Linked DNA regions of Caenorhabditis elegans. The protein of the gene in region 1 purifies or fractionates together with the protein of each later gene. This does not show direct contact. Each region holds a gene or a part of one and is shown in the gene's direction. Other genes may lie near its edges.

What was found. The genes of interacting proteins can lie anywhere in the genome.
Region 2: the proteins of F48E8.3 (region 1) and Y23H5B.8 fractionate together in Caenorhabditis elegans (co-fractionation; one large-scale study listed by BioGRID). This does not show direct contact.

What each region holds. Positions count from the first base shown.
Region 1 is NC_003281.10:5,459,378-5,464,915, forward strand, and holds F48E8.3 (fumarate reductase (NADH)), read left to right. Parts: upstream 1-2,001; 5' UTR 2,002-2,038; coding exon 2,039-2,185; intron 2,186-2,591; coding exon 2,592-3,516; intron 3,517-3,874; coding exon 3,875-3,999; intron 4,000-4,382; coding exon 4,383-4,667; 3' UTR 4,668-5,005; downstream 5,006-5,538. Other genes in the region: F48E8.2 (E2F-associated phosphoprotein), read left to right, coding at 5,021-5,181.
Region 2 is NC_003279.8:2,545,845-2,550,184, reverse strand, and holds Y23H5B.8 (T20D4.11-like domain-containing protein), read left to right. Parts: upstream 1-1,785; 5' UTR 1,786-1,857; coding exon 1,858-2,064; intron 2,065-2,852; coding exon 2,853-2,981; intron 2,982-3,030; coding exon 3,031-3,219; 3' UTR 3,220-3,799; downstream 3,800-4,340. Other genes in the region: Y23H5B.3 (T20D4.11-like domain-containing protein), read right to left, coding at 4,032-4,244, 4,322-4,340.

The sequences.
Region 1 (5,538 bases):
CTAGTCCCGCCAAATTTATGAATTGTATTTGCGGCATGGCCGAGCTTTCTCTTCCGCGGCTACGTTGCTAATGTTTTTTTGCTAAATGTACAGTGCTCCACATAATGATACGGCCACCCCCAAATTTTGGTATAACTCAAAACTGGGTTGAGATAGCAAAACATAGTTTCTTGTGAAAATGTTCGCTGTACTGGCTAACTTTCAGTTAAGTATTGGAAATATACCTGAACCGTTTGTAAAAAATATAAACCATTTTTTCATGAAAAACCATATAAAAAATCCACAAAATGATACGGCCACCCTTGGTTTTCGTTTTCTTTTTTCGTTTTCTTTGCAATTTTTTTTGCTAAACGTTAAGTTTCATGTTCGTTTGTGTTTTTACAGCTATGGGTCGTGGAATAACTTCAACTGACTACGAAAAAGGACAAATTGTGCCAAATTATCTCAAGGCTTCTCGAATCGTCAGATTTTTCGTGATTTGAAACTTTCGAGAGATATGATCACTCGATATGCTTCCAATCCTGCCGCTTATTGCACAAAAAAGTCTTCTGGTCGCACACCTTTTCTTTCTGTCAGACCCAAAAAAAAAACCGTTCGTCGAGCATCCAATTGAACAGTGACTTGCTCGAAAAGTAGGAGCGAGATGAACCTGGCAGTGTCTGTTGAGGCCGTACGACATGTTCTTTTGAAGTCTCAGTTTAACAAAAGACGAAAATTAAGAAAGGCTCCATTCATTACCAAAAAACCGCCAAAACCGTATTCAGTTTGCTAAAATCAGTCAGGGAACTAACTGAAGACAAGTGAGGATTACGGTATAATCATTCAAGCCCAGTTTTTGGTTTCAGTTCATCTTTTCTTTTCTCAAATCGTGCCACTAATCACGGTAGTAATCTGGTTCATTACAGTTAAACTTTTTCTCGTCACTGAAGATGAACTGAAACCAAAAACTGGGCTTGAATGATTATACCGTAATCCTCACTTGTCTTCAGTTAGTTCCCTGACTGATTTTAGCAAACTGAATACGGTTTTGGCGGTTTTTTGGTAATGAATGGAGCCTTTCTTAATTTTCGTCTTTTGTTAAACTGAGACTTCAAAAGGACATGTCGTACGGCCTCAACAGACACTGCCAGGTTCATCTCGCTCCTACTTTTCGAGCAAGTCACTGTTCAATTGGATGCTCGACGAACGGTTTTTTTTTTGGGTCTGACAGAAAGAAAAGGTGTGCGACCAGAAGACTTTTTTGTGCAATAAGCGGCAGGATTGGAAGCATATCGAGTGATCATATCTCTCGAAAGTTTCCAAATCACGAAAAATCTGACGATTCGAGAAGCCTTGAGATAATTTGGCACAATTTGTCCTTTTTCGCAGTCAGTTGAAGTTATTCCACGACCCATAACTGTAAAAACACAAACGAACATGAAACTTAACGTTTAGCAAAAAAAATTGCAAAGAAAACGAAAAAAGAAAACGAAAACCAAGGGTGGCCGTATCATTTTGTGGATTTTTTAAATATGGTTTTTCATGAAAAAATGGTTTATCTTTTTTACAAACGGTTCAGGTATATTTCCAATACTTATCTGAAAGTAAGTTAGTACAGCGAACATTTTCACAAGAAACTATGTTTTGCTATCTCAACCCAGTTTTGAGTTATACCAAAATTTGGGGTGGCCGTATCATTATGTGGAGCACTGTAGTATCGATACTACTAGATCAAAAGTAAATGTGAATAGTTACGGTTATGAATTATTGATTGTTTTTCCCCATCACTTTTTTTTCATGCTTCCCAGATGCCTTATCCATGTGAATATATTTATTCAAAAATCAGCTTTAATTTATTTTATATTTTCCCTTTTTTTCGGTTTTTCTCCTATGTTAGACATTCCATAAATAATGGGTTTTTAAAAAATAATTCTGTCTAATTTTTTCGGCGGTTTTAACCAATTTTCTATCATTTTCTATAATTTCCCTTTGTGTCCGTTGTTGAAATTTCCCCATTGACAGACATTTGATGATTCGGGTGCTCATTTCGCTTACAGTTATGGCTTCTGTGCTTCATGCTGAGCCAACTGTCGTTGTTGTTGGAGGTGGGCTCGCCGGGCTGTCTGCTTCACTGGATATTATCAATGGAGGTGGACGTGTGATTTTGGTAGAGGGAGAGGGAAATACTGGTGGAAATTCAGCGAAGGTAAGATCTTGCGAATTTTTGAAAAAAATCTATTTAACTTCTGGAAATATCGATTGTTAAAATTTATTTTCTCGCATTTTTTTGTTCCAAATTTCTGAAAAAGTTATTTATTTTACTATTAGTTGCAAATTGTGAAAAAAAATAATATTCTGTTTTTTTTCCTTTAAAACTGAAACGTCTCTGAAAAAATATGATAAATTAAAAAATTTCGATTGTAAGAAATTTTCAAATTTAAAAACAGTTAAATCGTGTGAAAAAGCTGGAAATAAAAAAAAAGAGTAACAAATTCTCGTTCTGAAAAATTTCAAAATTAAGTATGCCAAATTACAGTAAAATGTTTTAGTAAGTCTAGGTGATTTTTAAAAAAAGTGTCCAATATCCTCACTTCTTGAAAAAAATATTCCAGGCATCCAGCGGAATCAACGGTGCTGGAACCGAAACTCAGGAGAAACTGGGAATCAAAGATTCGCCGGAACTTCTTGTCAAGGACACTCTGAGTGCAGGAGACTCTGAAAATGACAAGAAACTTGTGGAAATTCTGGCTGCTAATTCAGCAGATGCTGTTGAATTTCTGCGTGGAGTTGAAGTGGATCTGACTGATGTGAATCTATGTGGTGGGCATTCTGTACCACGTACTCATTGGATTCCATCTCCAAAGGAAGGACGACCAATACCAGCTGGTTTCGAAATTATGAAGAGATTGAGAACAAGGCTTAATGAGAAGCAATCGGAGAATCCAGAAGCCTTCAAGCTTTTGACTCAGACTAAAATGGTTGGAATTTTGAGAGAAAATGGAAAAGTATCGGGAATCGAGATTGTAACATCAGCTTCTGGAGAGAAATCAAAGATCATCGGAGACGCTGTAATCCTTGCAACCGGTGGATTCTCTGCTGATGAAACTTTGCTCAAGGAATTTGGAGCTGAAATATTCGGATTCCCAACAACAAATGGAGCATTCGCTAAAGGAGATGGTGTGAAAATTGCGAGAGCTCTTGGAGCAAAGATTATTGGAATGGAAAATATTCAGATTCATCCTACAGCGTTTGTAGATCCAAAAGATCCATCAGCAGGAACAAAGTTCCTGGCGGCTGAGGCTATTCGTGGAAAAGGAGCTCTGCTTATTAACTCAAAGGGACAAAGATTTGGAAATGAGTTGGGAAGACGCGATTATTTAACTGGAAAGATTCTTGAGCTCGCTGAGCCAATTGAAGAGAGTTTCCAAGGAGGATCTGCTGGAAGAAATGCGGCGATTATGATTATGAATGAAGCAAATGTTGAGGCTTTTGGCAGACCTGCTTTCAATTTTTATTCGATTGTTAAGAAATTCTTTGGTAGGTTTTTTTCTGTGAAAAAGTTGGAAAACATTTTTTAAATTAGTTGTTTGTTATTTGAAAAATCCCAAACAATTTTTTTCAAATTTCATTTTTTTTTTCGAAATCCATTAACACTTCTCGAGAATAAGTTCGACAAAATCTTCGTATTAAAAATTCCCAGTTTAAAGATTTTTTTGTCGAAAATTTTATCAGCTTCCTTTTTTTTGGAGTTTAAAAGCATTTTAAATCCAAAACTAATTTTTTTTTCCGGAATTTCTGAAATTTTTAAAAATTCCCTTTTTCAAATTAATTTTTTTAATTTTTAGTTTTATATTATGAAAATTGTATTATTGCTCTGAAATCTGATTTTTTTCAGCGAAATACGAGAACTCCGCGGAGCTTGCAAAGGCTTTGGGTATCGACGAATCAGCTATTAAAACCACTTTGGAGGAATATCAGAAGAGTTTTGATGGAAAATCTGAAGATCCTTTCGGCAAAAAGGTATTCAAATATTTTTAATTTTAAAATTCTTGAAAAAATGACTAAGAATTCTGAAAAGTTGATCAAAATTGCATTTACTTTTAAAACAGACTTTATAAAATCAGAAAAGTGAAAGAAAAACTAAAATTCATAGATTTAGGAAAAATTGTGCTGAAATTGTATTATTAGAAACTTTGAGTAAAACGTTGAAAAATATCGAGAAAATCTTTCCCCGAATATTTGACGATCTATTTTCAATTTAAACTTTCCCAAGCCTAAATTTTTTTTCAAAATTAAAAAAATATCGTTCAGCAAAAAAAAATATCGAAACTGTAAAAACAAAGTTATTTTTGCATCGGAATTAGCCGAAAAATACCGAAACTGTAATAATTTCCCATTTCCAGGTGTTCCCAGTGTCTGCAATCTCTCCGACTGAGCCAATCTACGCAGCAATCGTCGTCCCAGCAATCCACTACACCATGGGTGGCCTGAAAATCGACGAGGCCACCCGCGTCATCGATGAGCATGGCAAGCCAATTGTCGGCCTTTTTGCCGCTGGAGAAGTCACTGGCGGAGTTCATGGTTCCAATCGATTGGCTGGAAATTCCCTGCTTGAATGTGTGGTGTTTGGCAGAATTGCTGGAAAATCTGCGGCTCAATCTGCTGCGGAGACTCGTACCGAGCTCTAATTCGAATATTTTTACAGAAAAAACTCAGTTTTGTGGCTCAATTCTACAGTATAATTCAGAAATTTTCAGTTAAAAAAAACATTTTTTCGCGATCCGGGATTCCCGGACCCCTGTAGATAATGATTCATTTACTAGTTCCAACCAACTTTATATGTTTTTATTATATCTACTACTCTATTCAGCATTTTTATTTTTCTTGTGATTTGCATCTTTATGGGTTCTTCTACACATATATTTATTTCTCATTTTCTCTTCATTTTCACACTCTCTCGTATTTATCGTGTTTCCTTCTTCGTATTGTGGTGTGTTTTTGGGTAATAAATGTGTTTTATTTTCAGAAGAAGCGGCAGACGATGATGATCAACGATGACGATGAGACGTTCGATGACCAATATCCAGCAGATGAAGTGACCGCAGCAACGATGCGTAGACTTGCTTTTGAAAAAATGGATGATGATTATTATCTCGGTGGAGCTGTTGGGGATGAAGTTTTTGATTCAGAGGATGATGTGAGGTAAATACACTGGAAAATGGGAGAAATTGTAATCAATGCCAAAAAAAGGAAATGCACAGCGTAAAAATTTTGGAAAAAAAAACTATTTTTCACTAAAATCACATGAATTTCTAAGTTTCCACCTTTTAAAAAAATCAGACACCGCTCGCAGGTTACGGTAGCAGTAATCCCCGACGCAGCTGAAATTCTTGCTACAGTACTCCATGCAGAAGTATTCAAAGAAAACGACCTTTTTTGGTTACTGTAGCTAAATTTTAATATGTTGGTTCAATAGAAAATCATTTTTGAGAAATATCCCTACTTCATCGAAAAATCAAGTTTTATTTCAAAACTATCCCGCTGATCAAACAAACACAG
Region 2 (4,340 bases), on another chromosome or scaffold:
ACAAAAGAGCTTCGTAAATATACACTGTACTCCGTAAATCTACACAAACCTTCTTCTTCTCGGACTTCTGCTCCTTCTTGAGTCGAGCCGATCTCTGCGATCCTTCCTTTGCCTTCTCCGCCGATTTTGCAGGCACTCCACTCTTGGCCGGTGGTGCCGGAGCGGCAGAATTGCTCTGAAAAGATGGTTGTTACAGTGGCCGAGAAATAACTCTTCCACTCACCTTAATCTTCTTTTGTCGTTTCGAGTTTTGTTGTCTCTTCGAGTTTTGCTTCTTGTCTCGTTTTGATCGTTTCGATCGCTTTGATCTCGCCGATTTTCCTTTGCCACCACGCGAATTCTCACGATGTCCGGTGGTACAGCCGACGGCAATGATCGCTCCAGAAATTGACGCAGCAGCAGCGAAACACACTGAAAAACAAGGAAATTGAGATAAATTGATATTTCCGGCACTTTTGGCAATCGATAATTACCGGCAACTGTCGCCATTGCCTTTAACTATTACGAACCGGCAAAATTGGATTTATCGGCGCTTAGCGGCAACTATTGTTAATTGCCGGCGACTATCAGTAATCAATAAAATTAGAGTTTCATTGCCGGCGGTCAGCGGTGACTATCGTTAATCGAAAAAAAAATCCATTTGTTACAAGTAATGGCTGCTGCCGGCCACTATCGGCAACCGCCGGCGACTACCGGCAATCAATAAAATCGGAGTTATTGAAGATTGTCAGCAACCATTATGACACTTATTGATTTTTGTAGACACGCCGGCAACAGAAGCGGCAATGCTCCGACAACATCCTCGGCGATCGCTCAGCAACCATCGGCAACTTTTCCTAAACTCACGGTAATTCATGGCACCATGGAGGTGCTCCATATCCAAGCTCATTGTGAAGAGTCGAAATTTCGAAATAATTGATTTTTCGCCGAACAAGATTTGTGGTCCCGTGAGTTGAGATTTGATTATTTGATAAGAAAGGTCAGCACGGTCATTGACATTTTTTTAATTTTAATTTTTTTCTTTTTAATATTTTTGAAAAATAAATTTTAAGTAAAATTTTAGATAATTTTTACAGTGGTCTCTTGTTGATCTCGGCTGGAAGAGGAGTGACGTCACAGATGGCCTAAGAAAATGTGGTGTGACCAAGTTTTCCGCCAATTTCTGTTTCAGAAATTTGTTTAAAAATTTTTTTTCTAATTCAACACTAATTTCTCCTCAGAAAATTCAATTTTTCCGCCAAAAAAAAAGTTTCCCAGAAAATTTGAATTTCTCGTCAAGTTTTTTTAAATCAAAAATTTGAATTACCCGCAAATGTTTTTCTTTAAAGATTTCAAGCTCCCGCAAAAAAATTTCTGAGAAAATTAAAATTTTTCGTCAATTTTTGTTCAAAAAAATTGAATTTACTCGCCAAAATTTTTGTTTCAGAAAATTTGAATTCCCTCCCATTAACTCAAACAATTTGAAATTCCCGCCAATATTTGCCACAGAAGATTTAAATTTTCCACCAAATTCCGTTGTTTCAAATTTTAATTCCCCACTAACTTTTGCTCAGAAATTTTGAATTTTTCTGAAAAAAATTTGAACAAATTTGGCATATCCCTTTAAAAAATATAGATGGCAGATAAAAAACTACAAAAAAAATTTAAGTCGATTTTCCCCATCTCTCCATTGGAAAAATCGATATTTCTATACCTAATAAATATGAATCCGTTGACCTCAAAATATTTGTTTTCCCGACTTCAGAGACTATCTCCCGGGAAGATATATCTTCACGGAGACGAGGGATATATCTTTCGATAGGTCATTTCTTCTTCTTCTGCTATTCAATTGTTATTATTCAATATTTATACACCGAAATGGCCAAAATTCTCTTGTTCCTTCTCTCGACTTTCTTCGTTTTTTCCATTGTCTCCGGGCAACAAACAAACTATGAAAATTGTCTCACGAAGCTCAACAAAATGAAGAATATTTTGAATAATTTGAAGCTGGAAACTACGAAACACGGCAAAAATGTGAAAATTGGTAATTTGGAAACATTTTATCATATGTGCATTGACACAACGGTTAGTTTTATTTTTTTCAGCAAAAATTTGAAAAATAGAGTTTCGAAAAATATTGAATTTTCAACAAAAAATTTCTGCAAAAGTAGTAGGTGGCCTAGAAATTCTGCGGCCACCGATTTCCAATTTTTCTCAAATGTAGTTTGTGAACATTAAATTCGTTTCAAATAATGCCAAAAAAAATTCCATGGGAGGCAGGCGCGGTTTCAGGGCCTGCCTTCATCCTGCCCGCCTCAGCCTCTGGCCTCTCAACATTTTTCTACACAATGGCGAGAAGGAATATTTAGCACATTGGCAAATTGCCGGTTTGCCGATTTGCCGGAAGTTTTTAAAGGGATTTTTTCATAAGACGGAAACACTTAAAACTGTGCTTTTTTGAAAATTTTCCCGTTTTCTTTAAATATTTTCATAGAATCTGCTCACTTTTCAAAATATATGTAGGAAAATTTATAAGGTACGTACAAATCTGCCGATTGAAATTGAAATTCTGAAATTTCCTTTAAAAAATTGTGCAAAAGCACAATTTGCCCAAAATTTTCGGCAATCTGCCAATTTACCAATTTCCGGAAAAATGGTTTGGTCGCCACAAGGCGGGCGAGGTAGGCTTCTCTGCGCCTGCGTGGAAGCCTACTGGATAGAGCTTCTGTGATCACAACCAAGAAGTGGGCGGAACGAAAGGCCACGCCCGTTTAACGGCTCCCAAAAAAATTATGAGCATCAGAGGCCACGCCCAAAATTTGGTACATCACTTTTAGTTTTTTTTTGATATTTAAAAAATTAAAAGTTTTCAGAACTGCGTAGAATCAATGGAAATCCCAGAGCTACTAAAAAGTATTTTGAGATTCGGAACAATGTTCATGAGATCCGCCTGTGAAGACTTGGGCTTAAAAGTCGGACCATTCAGTAAATGCATGGAAAAGGTACCTACAAGCTTCTCCGAAAAAGATCCTCTAGAACATTTTATTTCAGACAAAATTCGACGTAACTACTCTGAAAAACACGACGATTGGAGAGGATAAACCAAAGTGCTGGTTGACACCTGACGAGTTTTCAGAGCTTCAACGGGTTGTTCAAGAGCAATGCGGAGATGAAGCATGGGAGGATATGTTGAAGAATGAGGATAAGGTCAAAGTGATGACTTGTGAAAATCAGCCATAATGTATCCAAACGACATTCCGATTCGCGGGGGTTGATCCCCTTTTTATCAAATGAAAAGCACCTATATTGTGTTCATTGTTTTTTTTAACCTTATTTTAACTTTAACCGGGAAACGAAGCCCAACTCAGGATATGGGCGGACTCTCTGTATTTTTCGATGTATCGATTTCCTTTGTTTGGATTTCCGGGATCTTGGTTGAAATTATAAATGACCAGGACATTAAGAAAACATTGGCCATAACGATTTATTTTATTTTTAAAATTCTAACAAACTATCATAAAACTGTCTCTGTTATTTATTATAGTTATTTATTATTTATTTATTATTTATTTATTTATTATATTTATATATTTATTCCACAAATTCAATATGCGAAAAACGAACGAAACCCTGTGTGCCACTAGGTAGGCGTCTGCGCACATTCTGCGCCGATTAATTTCTTTTCTATTTATCGGAAAGTGCGCAGACGGCGTCAAAAAGTGGGGCTGGAGACCAGCCACAGCCCCAAAAGGAGCTCAGCCCCACTGTAGGGGCTAGCTAATAGTGCATCTTTATGTTTTAAATAAAAAGTGCATTCAAAATTTGCGATACATCCATTTTGAGATAGTTTGTGAGCTGATAGCTTGTTTTTAACGATATATGAAAAATTGGTCATTTTTTTCTGCGGCCGACTTGTTGAGATGCTTGCAGAGATTATCTCTAAAATGTTGAGAAGTAGGAAAAAGTTGTCATCTGGTCAACATTTAGTTAGTTGATAGCACAAAATTGCATTATATAAAAGTTTCAAAATTGCCTTCATTCTTCAAACATCTTCATTTCGAATTAGGATTACCTGAAATTTTGATTTTCAAGCTATTACTAGAATTATTTGAAGGCTTGTAGATCCTGTTGCATCCAAAATATTCACGAATAAAATTCTCATTATCCAGCATTTCTTTGACGGCACGGGGGCCGCATATATTTTCTATTGGCATTGTCTTGCATTCATTGTCAGCCTCGAAATACTCGCATGTTGGAAGTTGTGCCTAAAAATCATATATTTGTAATGCAAATGCGCTCCACAGCACGCAAAATTCAAACTTATGTAAAAAAGAAATCTTACCGCATTATTCCAATGGCTT